2 linked regions of the Rhinolophus ferrumequinum genome follow. The protein of the gene in region 2 purifies or fractionates together with the protein of the main gene of each other region. This does not show direct contact. Links are inferred from orthologs where the notes say so. Each region holds a gene or a part of one and is shown on either strand. Other genes may lie near its edges.

The links. Proteins that work in one complex are often made in the same cells at the same time.
Region 1: the proteins of PPM1G (region 2) and KPNB1 purify together in Homo sapiens (affinity purification with mass spectrometry; 3 studies listed by BioGRID and IntAct, with this or other methods). This does not show direct contact. The link is inferred for Rhinolophus ferrumequinum from reciprocal best matches to the Homo sapiens genes PPM1G and KPNB1.

What each region holds. Positions count from the first base shown.
Region 1 is NC_046304.1:35,252,888-35,260,497, forward strand, and holds the start of KPNB1 (importin subunit beta-1), read right to left. Parts: upstream 3,016-7,610; 5' UTR 2,674-3,015; coding exon 2,634-2,673; intron 2,535-2,633; coding exon 2,476-2,534; intron 394-2,475; coding exon 211-393; intron 1-210.
Region 2 is NC_046296.1:53,289,363-53,297,353, reverse strand, and holds the start of PPM1G (protein phosphatase 1G), read right to left. Parts: upstream 3,013-7,991; 5' UTR 2,757-3,012; coding exon 2,637-2,756; intron 1-2,636.

The DNA.
Region 1 (7,610 bases), on a different chromosome or scaffold from region 2:
ACCTCGGTTATCTGAAAACAATTCTGATCCATTAATGGGAACAGACAAGCTGAACTGAGAAAGATTTAAATCAAATACAATTTTTATCAAGTGAAGGTTTGAGCCCAGCAATCTGTATTATAACTCTATGCCGTGCAAACGACAAAAAAGCTGACAAAAGATTTTTCTTGTTCCTTAGGCTATATGACCAAAGAGAGCAAAGTTACTTACGTAATTCTTGACTTCCCGTCGAGCGTTAGCATCAATAGCAAGCCATCTCTGCTGATATTGTGCCTTGATATCTGGATCTTTAGATGTCAAAGAGTTCTTGATTTGTAGACCAGCTGCAACTCTGGCAACCTGACTGTTTCCTGGATTTGCTAGCACTCTGGACAGTTCCACAAGGAAAGTGGGCTGTTAAAAGAAGCAGCATCCATGAATGGAAATATCTCTTGAGAATTTCACCAACTGAGAATAGCTTATGGAACACCAAAAACACTGAGAAAACCTAAATTTTTTAGAATGTATCATAACGACTCAGAAAACTCAAAAATAACTTTACGACTCCTATAAAAATGTTACTTAATACATTGAAGAAGTCATCCATCTACTCAAGGAGCCTCAGCATTTAACAAGTAATTACAGATTTTCCTACCATCATCATTCTTAGTGCCCTATTCTTCACATTAACACCCCTAGAAATAAAGCAAGTTTGACAATCTGGTAGTCAGAGGGTTTTTCTATGTCCCTAGAACAGTACTCGACAAATATTTGTTGAATGAATTACGTTACCATTGGGTAGAAAAATTTTTCTAAATTAAAAAAACTTAAGTCCGAATGGAATGATACTCAGGGTGGCTTTTGATCTCATGAAAGCAGGTACTCTTGTATGAGAGGGAAATACTTATAAATCTAAAATATAGACTTAGGAGGCCAGTCCTCTGTATTTCAGTTGAGTGTTCAGCAAGAGGCGAACAATGAATAAAGCAGATTCATAAGAAAAAAACTGGCAAACATTTAGAAACGGGAAAACTGAAAAGATAAAAATGTCAAGGAAAATGGTTTTATATTTAAGAGCCACCAGTTAACACTCAAGTCTCCTATACATTTTCTACTTGAGTTGTCCACTAAAAATAGTGGATTTCTAAACAGCATAATCTTTTGTAATGCAGATCCCCAAAACTACTCCCATTATTAAAAAATGTAACACACTCCTCTACCTTGCAAAAAGCTGTCTAAAAGCTTTGCCTGAAGTTATCAGGAAAACCAAAAGCAGATAGTTCCTTACCATTAACAAGTTCTGCAATCACAGAAGGTAAATCTTAAAAGTTTTATTAATTATGTACCACTAAGTAATGTTAGGAATAAGGTAAAAGGCTTCTTGCAAGTTAGCAAAAGCAGAAACAGGAATATACCCTAAATGGAAATGTTTTCAGTCGAAAAAATCCTTTCTATGGAAAGTTAAAGAAAAAAAGGTTAGTAAAACCTAGCACATAAAGGGGGGAAAAAATCAAAGACAGTTTGTATAAAATATGCTGTCCCTTTTTTTTTTTGCTTATTTGCCTAGGTAACACAAAAGAACACATCTGGTTACAGTGTTATTTAGACTTACTACCTATTAGCTTTAAAGATGTCAAGAAACATCCACCCTTCCCTCTGCTCCCCATCCTCCCAACAGGAGAGGAACACCAAAGAGAAACTGTTGGCACACAGGTTATTTCAACCAATCCATCCCACATTTTTATGCAGAAGTCCGGTCTCTAGTGGACTTAGCTTCATTTTTTCTGTACCCCTTAAATTGAAAATATTTAAAACGAGGAACTTTTCTCTGTGATTTCATCTGGAAACAGTTCCGATCTCAAGGATGAGCTCAGCGTGTTGTGTGGGTACAGATTAAGTCTTTACTCATCCAAGTAAAAGAAAGAAAAAAAATACCCCGGGAAAAGAAGGAAAAGGAGAAATATTGTCGGAATGGGTCAAGAGGCATTCGGGTGCCAGGCCTGGCGATGAGCAGAGACCAAGGGAGATAGGAAAGGGTAGAACTCTGAGAAGTAGGTGGAGAAAAATCACAGGGGCCACGGGACAGGAAGGAGAAGCTGGCCCCAGTCAGAACAGGGAGGGCAGCTGGGCTCGGAGCTTCCACATGGCCCCTAGGCCCGGCTCCCCCACCCCCACCCTTGCTGAACACGCAGCGCGGCGCAACCTAACTTCCCTTCCCTCCCTTTTTCTCCCTCCCGCTGCACCGCCGCCCACAGGCCGCGCGGCGATTGGACAGCAGTCACCCCGGCGCGCCGCGCCATTGGCCAGCTGCAGGGGCTCGGGGCGGGACACACCCACCGGCTTCCCGATGGCGGGGTTAGGTTGGACCGGGTGGGGGGGAGGGGGACGGGATGGGGCGGGGTGGGTTCCCGAGGCCTGGGCCTCCGGGAGGGCGGGAAGGCCCGCACGCAGGGGATGGGGAGACCGCGGGATGGGGGACGGCGGGATGGCACGCACCAGGTTCTCCACGGCCGCACGTTCCAGGAACTTCTGCGCCGCTTCCAGTTCCAGCCGATCTGGGGAGAAGTGGGAAAGGGGACAGGGTCAGAGGAACCAGGGCTTCCCTTCCCCCCCACCCAATCACCTCAGCCCGACCCCCGGCCCCCGCGTCCTACCGGGAGACACGGTCTTCTCGAGGATGGTGATCAGCTCCATGGCGGAGGTGGCGGCGGCGACTCCTCCTAAGACGTCGGCCCGGCCTCTCGGGCGGCGGCTCTAACTGGGGATGGGGGTTGGGGGTCGGGTGGGAAGGGAGGGTGGGGTGGGGGGCGGGGGTCACCACCAGCCCATTCACCGGCTCCCTCTTGGTAGTCGCTCCGGCTTCCCTTCCTTCCTCCTTTCCTTCCTTCCTCCCTCCCAATTTTCTGCTGGCGGCGGCGGCAGCTGCTCCTCTGGCGGCGGGGGAGGGACCCCGGGGGCAGCTCAGAGCGCGGCTGGTGCTCTGGTGGCGGAGGGAGAAAGAAGGAAGGGAGGCGGTAAGTGAACGGCGGCTCGCAGGGAGGGAGAGAGAGGGAGGGAGGAAGGCGGAGGGATATTCGGGCCGGACCTCTCCGCGGCGGCACCGCGCTCCACATCGATTGGCTGCCGCCGTGGCCACGCGGTATCTCCCATTGGCCAGGCGGTCAGCGCTGCAGGGCTGCCCTGCACCCATTCGCCCGCTGGTTTCAAGGCCCGGGTTGGCTGGGCGGGCTCCGGAATGGGGCACATGGATTGGCCGAGGGGAGTGAAATCGGGGTGGGGCAGGCCAGAGCCGGCTGCTGATTGGATTGGCCTGGTAAGGTCCTTGCGCTCAGACCGGCTGAACGTTGGGAGGAGAGTGGACCGAAGGCGAGACTCCGGGCTTGCGTGATTGGTTGGGATACTAGGCGTTGATAGGATAGGGCACCGGGGAGAATTGGGGAGAGTAGTTCGGGGTCGGGGCCGCGGAAAGGCGGCAGGCGCCCCGCCGCTGTAGGAGCCCAGCGCGGGGCACGATGGGACGCCCCCGGGAGGGGGCGGAGCTGTGTTCGGGCTGCGGTTGGGAAAGCGCAGTCACTCGGAGGGGCGTGTTGAACAGTTTCGCGGGCTTGAGCGGGGGAGGGGAGACCGTTAAAGCCCTGCACCGCTCCCACAGGAAACTGCTTTAATGGCTAAGCCTCATTGGTACCAGGCTTGTGGCTGGTTAGGACCTTGAAGACCATGCGGTTTAATTTCCAATTTGCAGATGTGGAAACTGAAGCCCAGAGAGGGTACGCGACTTGCGCACGGTTGCACAGCTGGTTAGTGGCCTGCTGGGGACTGGACTCAAGCGCACTGAGTGCCCTTGGCTTTACACCCAGCTTCCCCCTCCAAGGAGGTGAATGCTAATCACTTCCCTCAGATCTATTTATGGGGTTTGAGGTCTGTGCTGCTGTAAGGTCTAATTCACGTGGCGTGGGCATTTGATTTCCTCATAGACCCCCATTGTAGCTACCAGGTACTTGAAGGAATGAAAATGTCTCATTCTGCAAAGGTGCCTTTAAAGGCACAACCGTGAACCAGAAAGAATGCTTGTACAGGCTTAAAGGATCGTGGTTCTTAGCCTTTTTAAGTTCTAAGCCCTGGAAGAAACTAATGAAAGCCTTTCCTTAGCAAAATGCTCATAAAGAAAATGTGCATACAGTACAGTTCTTGACTTCCCCTGACATTGGTACATGGACTCCACGTGAAGAATTTCCTGAATTGTTACATATGATACATGGTTAATTGGATGTAGATACTAGCTTATAGACCTCTTCATCATGCAGCTTGAGCTTGTGGAGTAATTGCCCTACTCTAGCCATTCTGGGAAAACCTAGGAGGAACTGTTCTTACTGAGAGGTTCCACCCAAGAATTAGGCAAGTTTGGCCATTTATCTTTAATCCTTAAAAGAGGAAAAGCTATTTCTCTGCTAGAGATACCTTTGAAATTCTGAAGCTGACGTGTGGGAACGCGAGGCTCACCATCCTGTGACTAGTTGATTTCCTATGGCTTAGCAGTCCTAACCTCAGGCTTTGCTTCATCTAGTAACTGAGGAAGAACTGCCCTGTGTGTGTAACTTCATTAGGAATCAATGAAGGTTAAGTGAGATGACATCCATGAAAATCTTTGAATTGTCCTTATGTGGATTACCCATACTCCAAATGATCCACAATTTTGTCTTACTCCGAGCCTTCTGCCCTCTAGCAGTTTGCTGAGCCTTCTCCTCTGCGCAACATCAGTCATAATACCAGTAAAGGCAAGTGGATTGTTTTTTTTACCCTTCTTCCGCTTCCCCCCCCCCCCCCCCCCCCCCCCCCGCTCTGGTTCAAGCCGTTGTTTCTCAGTCTAGTTGTGTAGGACACAGTCCCTGGCCCATGCTGGTATTATGAGTCTTGCGCTCCCCCCCCCCCCCCCCCACTGAGGCAGTCGATTGCCAGTCGTTGGTCGGCCGGCCGCTCACAGCAGCTCATGGCAGCTCTCGCCGGCTGCCGGCCGCTCATGATGGCTGCCGGCCACTCATGCTGGCCACCAGCCGCTCATGGCAGCACACAGCAGCCCAAGCTGTCTGCTGGCCACTCACGCTGGCTGCCGGCCACTCACGCAGGCCACCAGCTGCTCATGGCTGCACACGATGGCTGCTGGCCACTTGGCAGCTTATGCCACGCTCCGGCTGCTCACGGCAGCCTAGTTCCAGGGCGAGCTGCTGGTCACAATCTTAGCTGTAGAGGGTGCAGCTCACTGGCCCTTGTGGGAATCGAACTGGCGACCTCTGCCTGGGTGTTAGGAGCACAGCGCTCCAACCACCTGAGCCACCGGGCTGGCCCGCAAGTGGATTTTTAAAGCAGCTGGACTAAAATGCTGGGAAGATAAATGCTTTGCAGCAAAGTTCCAGTCAAATATAAGATCCTTACCAAAACCCAAGTGAAATGATTTTTTAGTTCAACTAAGGTTACTGATGGTGCTGTCTAGTCTCTATCAAATCACTCAACACTCTTCATTTCAGCAGATGCTAGTGAGTCACCGAAGTGTGAATGTAGCACACAGACTCCAGAAACTGACTTCCTGAGTTCATATTCCAGCTCTGCCACTTCTTAGCTTATGTGACTTAAATTGCTTACTACGTAAAATGGGGCTAATTATACCTTCCTCATACAGGGTTTTTGGGAGGTCCTGAGTTAATACATGTTCAGTGCTAGGAACACTGCCTGGTGTGTTATATGTTATATATAAATTGGCTATTTAGCATGTATGTTGCACCAAGCAAGTAGTTCGTGGTCCTTGGCCCATTAAGGAAGATCGTCTAATCAGTTAATCTCACAAACAAATGTTAAGTTGTAAAAGTGACAGATGCTAAGGACTGACCTAGTTAGGGGGCTCAGGGAAAACTTAGCTGAGAAATAGAAGAGTGTTATTCAGGTAGAGAAGGGAGGAACAGCATATGCAAAGGCCCTGTGGTAAAAGGGAGCTTGGGGATTCTAAGGACGAACTGGAAGAAGGCCAGGGCCTCCAAAATACAGAACAAGAGATTGAGATAAAGCCAGATTATTGAGTAGGGGAAAGCCCATATGAGACCTTGTATCCTATTTTGTCTATATCTTAAGAGCAAAGAGCAGCCATTGAAAGGTTTTAAGAAGGATGCCTGTAGATGCAGGGATGCAGGGAGACCAGTTAGGAGGCCATTGTAACCAAATAAGGGATCATACTTGTAGAAAGGAGAAGGGTAGAAAGAATAGTGGAAACAGAGATAGATATCAAAGTTAATTGAACTTGGTGACTGATCGAAAGAAGTGTCAATGTCACTGGTACCTATTTGGATTTCTGGTTTGTATTATGAAATGGATGGTGATGCCATTTAGTGTTTCTCAAGTGGGAAGAATTGGAGTCCACATCGTTTAAGAATGAGAAGTACAAAGGAGGCTTTGAGTTGTATTTCTTGAGCTATTTATGAAGTAATGGGTTTTGTTGTTACTCTATAACTTTTGAATGTCAGGAATATTCATGTCTAATAAACAAATTCTGAAATTAAAGAGAATAACTCGTTTCCGTTTTACTCTGTCACTTCCTGCTGTAAGATCCTGAATAATTTACTTAACATTTTGGATCTGTGAAATGGGAGAATGTCACCGCACTGTTGGGTGGTCTAAACAAAACCAGGAGCCTCTCTGTGAGGTGCTTGTGCCAGGAGGTACTCACCAGTACCTGGTAAGCAAGTGAATTGGTGAATGGTCGAGCTCAGCTGCAGTTTCCCCACCCAGGTCTCCCACACACACACACACACACCCCGCCTCCCAACCCACAGCTCGTATATGAGAAGACTGCCAGAGGAGAAGCAGTCAGGCTGAGACCTGGTGCTCTCTCCTCCTGCGTAAAGCTGACTGACCTGGAGAGGGGTTAAACCTTGGCCTCATTAGCGCTGAGGAAGAATGGAGGTGACTATGACATCCGCAAGGCTGAGTGTCCCTCTGCTTAGTGACGATGGGGCAAACATCATAGCCATTTTCCTGACTTTTCACACACTTCTAAATAACAGACAAGGGAGAGAAAGGAGCCAAGAAGACGTTGCTATTATCTTCAATACCCATAAGCAGAATATTATCATAAAAGAATTCTCGTCTCCCCTGGCCTTGCCTGTGCTCACTAGGCTCTAGCCTTCTTTTCCTTTAACACACCATGATCTGTGAGTCTCCTGATTTTGTGATTTGCTGTTCTAGCCCATTATTCCTGTCGCATATCAGGTGTCACTTCTTCAGGCCTTCCCTGGCTACTCTAAGGGCGTTCCGTGGATACTCCTTAGGACAGGACCCTATTTGATTGTCTGCAGAACATGTCTCAAAACCTGAAATTATCTTTTCTCTGCTGTCAGTCCCCACCCCCACTAGAATGCAAGTTCCATGAGAGCAGGGATCTTGTCTGTCTCGTTGGTTGCTAAAATTGTGCCTCACATATCAGGTGCTCACATATTTGTTAACTGAATGAAGCGTGTGTAACTAAACATGCAACGATCCCTTATGGCCCATGAAAAGTGACTTTGTGAAAGGCACTTCTTTTCCAGAGTTATCCGTACTTGCCCCACATGGACCTTGGTTCCCATCAAGCCAACCATCTCACTTGA
Region 2 (7,991 bases):
AGGAATTTTGTCACTCCAGAGAACCTCACAACCAAAAACTACAAGTACCTTTGTCCCTTTAAGACTGCATCAACTAAAACTGTTTTCAGATTGGACTTAATAGCCACCAAAAACACAGCCTTTCCATATGTATTTCTCAGGCACCCTTCCACAACCTACCTCATAGCCCCCAAAATACATACCTCAACCAGCTTGAGGGTCCCTCCAAACCATGGAGAAGGAGGAAGGGAAGGGAACATCAACTGTGGTATTTTGATTACCCCTCCTCAAAACACCCTGGTTCCACAGCAACAGGGGCTGGAGAGAGGCAGAAAGTATAAAATGCCAGCTGTTGATAGTTGCCATCCTTGCCTCAAGAGAAGGGATAAAATAATACTCTCTAAAGCTGAATTTGTGTGTCAGGATTTTAGCAACCTTTGTAATGTGTATTAATGTAATAAACTTACCTCAACTGAATCTTTAGGATCAAGCAAACAGGCTTAATTGGTGGAATTACACCCTAAAGGTTAAGAGGAACAGAAGTACACTTTGTGAAAAGTTAAGATTCACAGATACGAGTCTAGAAGTCATAGTTATTTTCTTGTCATTCCAAAGAAACTATCATATACATTGGGGAGAAAGGAAACAAAGCCAGAAGGAAAAGTATTGAGGAAGCAGAAAAGCATCTCAAACAGGGCTTCAAGATGATTTGATTAGGTATTTTTAACAACTCAAAGGTAAATTCAGAAACAATGTAAAAGGAAGATTTTAAAACCCTGAGTGGTTACCTCTCAGGAGGAACATTAGGATCTAAGGACTAGTCTAACAAGATCTCTAAAAATCAAACAGCCCCTGATGAAAAAGTCATTTTCTAATTACCAGAGGAGAAATAAAGGGAAATGCCCTGCAGAGAAGCAGCAAAGGGCACAGAATCACTAGGCAAATAACTTGGAAAACTGAATATCCAAGCAACTCAATTCATAAAGAAAACCAGAGAAGAGTACTAAAGAAATGGAAAAACCACAGCAAAGAGGAAAATGGAAAATACAGAATGAGGAACCTGAAGGAAAAGCCTTACTGAGATGAAAGTCACTTCAAATCTTACATTAACAGAAAATGCCATAGAAATAGAACCTCCAAACTATCAACTAACCCAAACCCCAGCCTTGCATAAATGTTTTCCTTTTCAAACTATATTCGCATATTTCTAACAGTCAATTACATTTACCAAGTACCAAGTAAGCTTGATACTGTGCACCAGTGAAATCTGAACGTTATACTTCAGGTTAACACAGATTATAAATGTTTAGTGTCTTGGAACAATTTCATCCTAGAAATTCTTTCCACCAAAGCACAAGTGTCCTAACCTTTCTTTGCCTCAACTTCTGAGTTGTAAAATGTAGGAGCCAAAACGAGATGAACTATAGGATCCCCTCCTATCTTGAAATTTATACCTAATGATAAAACTGTTTTTAAACTCTGCTGTGGGTATAAAATTTGAGTATGAAACAAACCTTTAAGTTTACATACTGTCATTCCAGAGCTAACCACAGGGAGGAGCGAGGGATTTAAAGAAATTCCCAAGGGAGACCGTATTTGGCTGTTACCTGAAGCCCACCTAGTAAGTGGATAAACCCTCAATCCCAGACATAATTAGAGCATTTCCCTGGCCCCTCTGCCTAGATCAAACAATCCTCTTTACAAAAACACATCTTACACCTCTTTCTTCCTTTCCTTCCTACCATAGTTTGCCCTGTTCTCCTTTGTAGTTTCACATCCATTTTGCCTATAGTACTCCTTTTTATCCAGACTTTTTCCTTTTAACCAGTGAAGTTTTCTAGAAAAAAATCAGTTCTCTGCAGGTTAAGACAAAAATATATTGATGAAATGATTGAAAAATCATGGAAACTATTAACAACAAGAACAGGCAAATGGCAAATTACTGAGTAAGTTTTCGAAAAATCCCGAGAAAATATCAAGCATATTTTTTGTTAAAAAAGGAGTACTACTGACTCGTTTCAAGTTTTCCAAAGGCCGTAAAAGGCCCTGATGAGAATACAAACGAGTGACAATTCTTGGAGGTCAGGTGGAACCTTCTGAAACTAACATGCGGTGCCCAGGGCCAGGCAACTAGGCGTTAAGAACTTGAGTTGAAACAGGCTATGTGCCCCGGCTTTCTGTCACTGTCAAACTCCTAGCCCAACGAAGCCTCTCACGTATTTAAATTTTTTTTTTAATTTCAAGTACCGTCATTCACATCTATTCGCCTAATCCCTCGCAAAAGTAAATGAATAAACAGTCCCTCTTTTCATCTTTACTCCCACACAAAACGTCACACCGTTTATGAGCCTAGAGGGCTGGGTTGGCACGAGAGCGATGGCGCGAAGGCACGGGGAGAGGGCAGTCAGTGGGCGGAAGGTGCCTCTCCCCACATGGCCAAAACCTCGCCGCCAAGCTGGCCACAGACATACGGTCCCCAAGCACCGGCAGCTCCCTCTCGGCACCAGGCCCGCTCTTGGTACCGCCCCCCCAAACTGCGGCTGAGGCCGCAGTCTCGATTTGGACCCTTCCCCAGGAATGACCCCATCCCCCCCGCTCCCTTTTTCCAACGGGTTCCCGCCCTGCAGCGGCCAGCCTATGGGCCCCTCCCGCCTCACCTCCATGGAGACACGCCAGCCTTGCATGGCGGAGAAGCCGTAGGGTAGCGGCAGGCGCGGTGCGCCAATCCCGTCCCCGGAGCACTTCACCGTGTTGGGCTGGGAAAGGTAGGCACCCATGGCGGCGGCTGGCCGGCGGCCTCAGGGGCAGGTGAGCGGGCCGCGACCCGTGCCGGAGCCGGGAGCGCTGCGGTCGCGTATGGCAGGAGCGGCTTCAGCGGCGCGGCGACGCAAGGTGCCGGTAAAAGGCGCGAGGCCGGCCAGGAGGCGGTAACGGGACTAGAAACGGAGACGGGGCGGAAGCGGAAACGGCGCCGCTCCAGACCCCGCCCGGCCGGCGCGGGGCGGCGCGGCACGGCGCTGCAGACAGTCATTTCCTTAGCAACTCGCCCCGCCCGCGGGGACAACGGCCCGCCCAACCGTCGCTGCCGCGAGACTGGCGCGGCCACGCCCACCAACGGCCGCAGCCTGACTCCCTCGGTCCCCAAGGCGGCTGGTCTTGCGTAGCGGTCTCCTGCTGTCCCCCGTGTTTGCTCCCCTACCCTGGTCTCTCGCATGTTTGTGTGAAACTCTTTTGTTTGGGACCCGGCGCTTCCGGTCCATCTTCTAGTGTGTCAGGCCTCCCCCCCACCCTCGGCTTCCACCGCACACTCAGACTCCGCAAACCCCGGCCGATTCAGTTCAGTTCAAGTTGACTAGCTTTTCCGAGCGCACGAAGTACCTGGCCAGGCCTTATGAGGCCTGTTCGAGTAGAATGTGGAAGAGTCTTTTATGACAAAAGAGAAAACGACCTCTATGACATCAGTCGAGTTAATGCAGTGCAGAAATGTTTGGCACATTTTATGCTAGATGGGAAGAAATCAAAGGCGAGGAGGACGCACTGTTGCTTGAATCCTCAGGAGCGCGTTATGCTGGGGGAGAAGGGAATAACGTTAGGAGGTTGCAGGGGTGAGGAAAGACTAAAATGCATTGGGGAGGATTTTTGAGGAAAGTGATTGGCCTCGTTCGAAAGTGATTTTAAGTATTAGTATTAAATAAGGATAGAGATGGTAGTAAGTGGCAAGCAAGATGGGTGATTTGGACTTAACTGTTATCCTGGTATAGCATTTTAGGGCTGTTAGGCTAGTCTTTGTGTGCAGTATAGATGGGGGGGGGGGCAGGCTCTGGAGAATAATTGGTTAAAGGGCTCTTAATCCAAGCATGAGGTGGGAGGGCTGAGACTAGGGTGGTGGCAGTGGGAATAGAGATGAAGGAACAAATTAGACAGTAAGAACTCCTAGCAATAGATTGGATTCAGGGGATGGGATGAAAAGGAAAAATTCTCCAAACTATAAGCAGATTGATTTTTAAAATACAAAACTAATGGCTTCCTCCTGCTCTTCAAGAGACCTACTCCAAATTCCTTAACATAGTTTACCAGACCCTTCATGCTTGAACCGATTCTAGCATGTCTCTCCTGCTTTCCATTTCCACTACCACTCAGTGCTTCAGCAATATGTCTTTGGGTTCCTCTAAAGCTGCGTTTGCTCTTCTCAGGCTGTCACCCATGGAATAAACCTTCCCACCCCACCCCCACCCTTTTATCATCACTTCCTTCAGGAAGTCTACATTAGTTTGGGTCCCCACTTGTTTTTTTCCTGATAGACTATAAATCTTTATGAAGGCAAAAACTGCATCAAACTTACTGTTGTAAACCGCGCCAGCATCCCTAGCACAATTCTTGTATGTGCTCAACAGTATTTAAATATTTGTTGAATGAATGAATGAACACCAAGATTTTGACCTTGAATGACAAAAACTGGTGGAGCCATTAACAAAATGGTGTGGTGGTGAGAGGGTACTAGTTGGGGAGCGGGGGAGGGGGAAATGGTTGGTTCATTTTAAGGTGACAACTACATACACAAATATTGAAAATACTGGGTTGAAGTTAGACTATATGGGTAGAAGAAGATGTTAATTAGGACTGTAGGTCATCATGATCCTGGATGAGATTTCTGACAAAGGCAGTGTTAAAAGAACATAAGCCTCTTCTCTTTTTTAATTTTTTTAAGAATGAAAAAAGCATGAGTTTTGACATAATATTAGCTACGTGGTCTTTCACAAGTAACATATTCTCTCTCAGGCTCAGTTCCTCATCTATAAAACAGATATACAATACATACTTTTCCAAATTGCTTTAGGGATAAGAGGAGCTGAATATAAATTGCCAAGTTTGCATAAATGTTATATTGTTAGTCAACCAAAAGACTACCATTGATTAAGTATCCACAAACACATGCTAAATAAGGGATGGAAATAACATTAAATTATTAAATGATGTTCACAAAAAATAGATTGCCTGAAACAAAATGGAAGACAAATAGACAAGGAAAAAAGTGGAAAAGAAAATATGACTCAAGGAAAGAGTGAGGCATTGGGAGAGCAATGGTGTGTCGGAGAGGGGAAATGGAGATACTAAGGGGGCTCATGCAAACAGGTGGGAAAAGAGACAAAGAATATGAAGATTATCCTCTCTCCACTCCATCTCCATTTCCCCCGAAACCACTACAGTATACTTCCAAGAACACAAACAAAGTTTTCATGCTTTGATAGGAAAAAAAAATGTTTTTAATGAAATAAAAACCCAAAACATTATATTCTCAGATTGGTATTCCATCTGAGAATGAGTATTGGTATTCAGATTGGTATTCCATCTTGAGCCTGTCTTTAAACTATGCATTTCAAAAATCTGCCTAATCAAACACATGTAACAAAAGCAGCTCCTGAACATCTATTTTAGGGGCTGGACTGAATTAAAAAAAAAAAAGGGGTCTCTAAAATATATACCAAGTTCATTCTACAACAAGGGATAAAGCTATGGGATTGGTTTGTTGTGGATAGAAAATAACAAATTCTAAGCATTTGGTAATTCTTACACATATTCACAATTATGTATCCCAGTATCACCTTTGCTTTATTTTTTAAAGAAATCACTAGATTGATTATATTTTGTCTCCCAAATTGGTCAAACATCAAAGATAAATTGAAAATATGAGGCATTTTTAAAACCTCTTTTGTCCGTTTCTATTAGCTTCTCATGAGCCTCTTTCCAATTACCTCCCAAAACAGAAAGGAGAAAAGAGGAGAAGGTGATTTAAGCCTGTGTTTTTCAAATATGAGAAATTGTGAACCACTAAGACATATTTCTGTAGATTCAAGGAATTCAAGGGATCCCAGGCCAGGCAACACTGCCTTAAAAGTTAAATGCTAACTTCAGAGTATAATGTGACACCAATTCAACTGTAAACTTAAACACAAGATCATTCAAAAATAAAAGTGTTCATTCAGATGATCCAAAATATGCTAATATGCTTATATTATAAAACTTAAAGCACAAAGTTTAAAAATTCTCATGGAAGACTCATAGTGCCTTGGAAATACAAGACTCCCAGAGGGTAACAGACCACAGATTGAAAAACCCGACTTGCATATGGAGGATGTTAAGTGAGGAGAGAATGAGAAAAGAGAAGTTGGGAAGTAGGTTTTCTAGACTCCCCCCTACCCCAGGCTTTTCTTGAGGTTCCTAAATCTGATTTTGACCCTTCATATAAACTTCTTTCACATCCTGTTTCTGATGACATTATATTAGTTATAAAATATTACCTTTGGAAGCTCAGTAGTTTTGATACTATATTCTTTCCTGTGTGTGATTAAATGTGAAAGATTGGTTCAAGGAAGGAAAAAAAGTATGGGGGTAAGATTTAGGGCTTAAGAAAGAAAAAATACAGATATTTTAAGTTACTAGTAAAGAGAGGGGAAAGAGTCTATTTCTGAGCCTAGGCCAGACTCCTCTTTGTAGTCATAAATTTTAAAGGGTGCCCAATAAATGAAACTTTTATATTGCAGTTTTGTATTTCTAGAAGGCAAGACATAAATTCATTTGGAAGCAATCTGCCTTTTCTCAGAGACATTTGGAAGCAATCTGCCTTTCATCATTAGCATGGGTCCTCTATACATACATAAAGATAATTGTGGAATGACCATTAACCAAAATTCAGATGTTTCAGACTGAGATCCTGGGGTTAGTTTATTTATTATTAATATAAATTGCGTCGTTCGCAAGACAGTGCCCTTCCAGGGAGAGAGAGATCACTTCTTTCCCCTAAATAAGAATATGAACTGGAATGTCTCCTAAAATCCTTATTTGTTTTCAGGAAACTTATGTATGTTTTTATCTGTTTGCTTACAGGTGATCACAAAACTGGAGCCATCCTGAAGAGGGTGCCAATGCTTCCTTCATACCTCGCATAAGAGAACTGGCCTGAACCACTGGTATCTCACAAGTGGTGTTATGTAAAGCCAAATTATCCCAAGTCTGGAAAGTGTCAATGACTCCTGGGATTGCATCAACCAGGCCAAGGTGGAGGTGAGTTTTCCTCCTAAGGAAAAGATAATCAATTGTTCAGTCAGACATTCTAGAGTGGAAAGAAGCAGGCCTTGAACTGAAAAAGAAAGACTTTCTTTTGGACCCATGCCTATTGCTGGCATTAGGATTTCAAGATGTGACAGTCTGGGGAGTCCTGTGGGGAGTTGGGGGGGAAAGGCGCAGGTTGAATTGGCTCTGCCTTATCAGGAATCTGAAGAATAGCCACTTCTAGTGACAGTAGTGGACTACTCTTTGTTTTTATGTCTGTGCCTCTGTGTCTTGTTAAATAGCCTGGATTGAGCTGAGCTTTGGGGAATAAAGTGAGGAGATCTTTATGCATTGGGATGGGGGCCGTGTGCAGAGCCTGGAGGAGAGCTGGCAAAGTTCAAGAGCAGCAGTGGTTTGGAACAAGGACCCCTGCAAAAGCGATAGTCATTTCCAGGGAGGATATGTGGCTCACTTAACCATTCCTTAGGGATTCCTCAAAATCTTTTGGTAAGACAATCCCTTTGCCATACGGGTTGCTGAGAACTGAGGACACAGAGTTGAGCCTGACAGATTGGTCTAAGAAAACCATGGTGTTAGAAAAATTCTGCTGCTTCTTGCAGTCAACACAAGGGCAAAATTCTTAACTGAGGCTCATGTTCAAAGTAACAAATGACCTCACATTTGTAATCACTTGGCTCTACAATTTGCTAGGGACTAAAGAACAAACAGCAATAAAAGGAAATCGGCCATCTGGAATCCTGCTACCCTGTCCGCCAAAATGGCTTTTCCTCCACTGGAAAATCGTTCCGTCTACTCCTCTCAAATGGTTCTTTCCTCAACCTTGATAGTATCCTCATGTGTATGTTTTAGCTCAGTACTCAGCCCAAATCTTGAGAGGCTCTTTCTGCAGAGCTCCGTAGTTCTGTCTGTGTATAGCTCCATTCTTTCTGGTACTCTGCCCT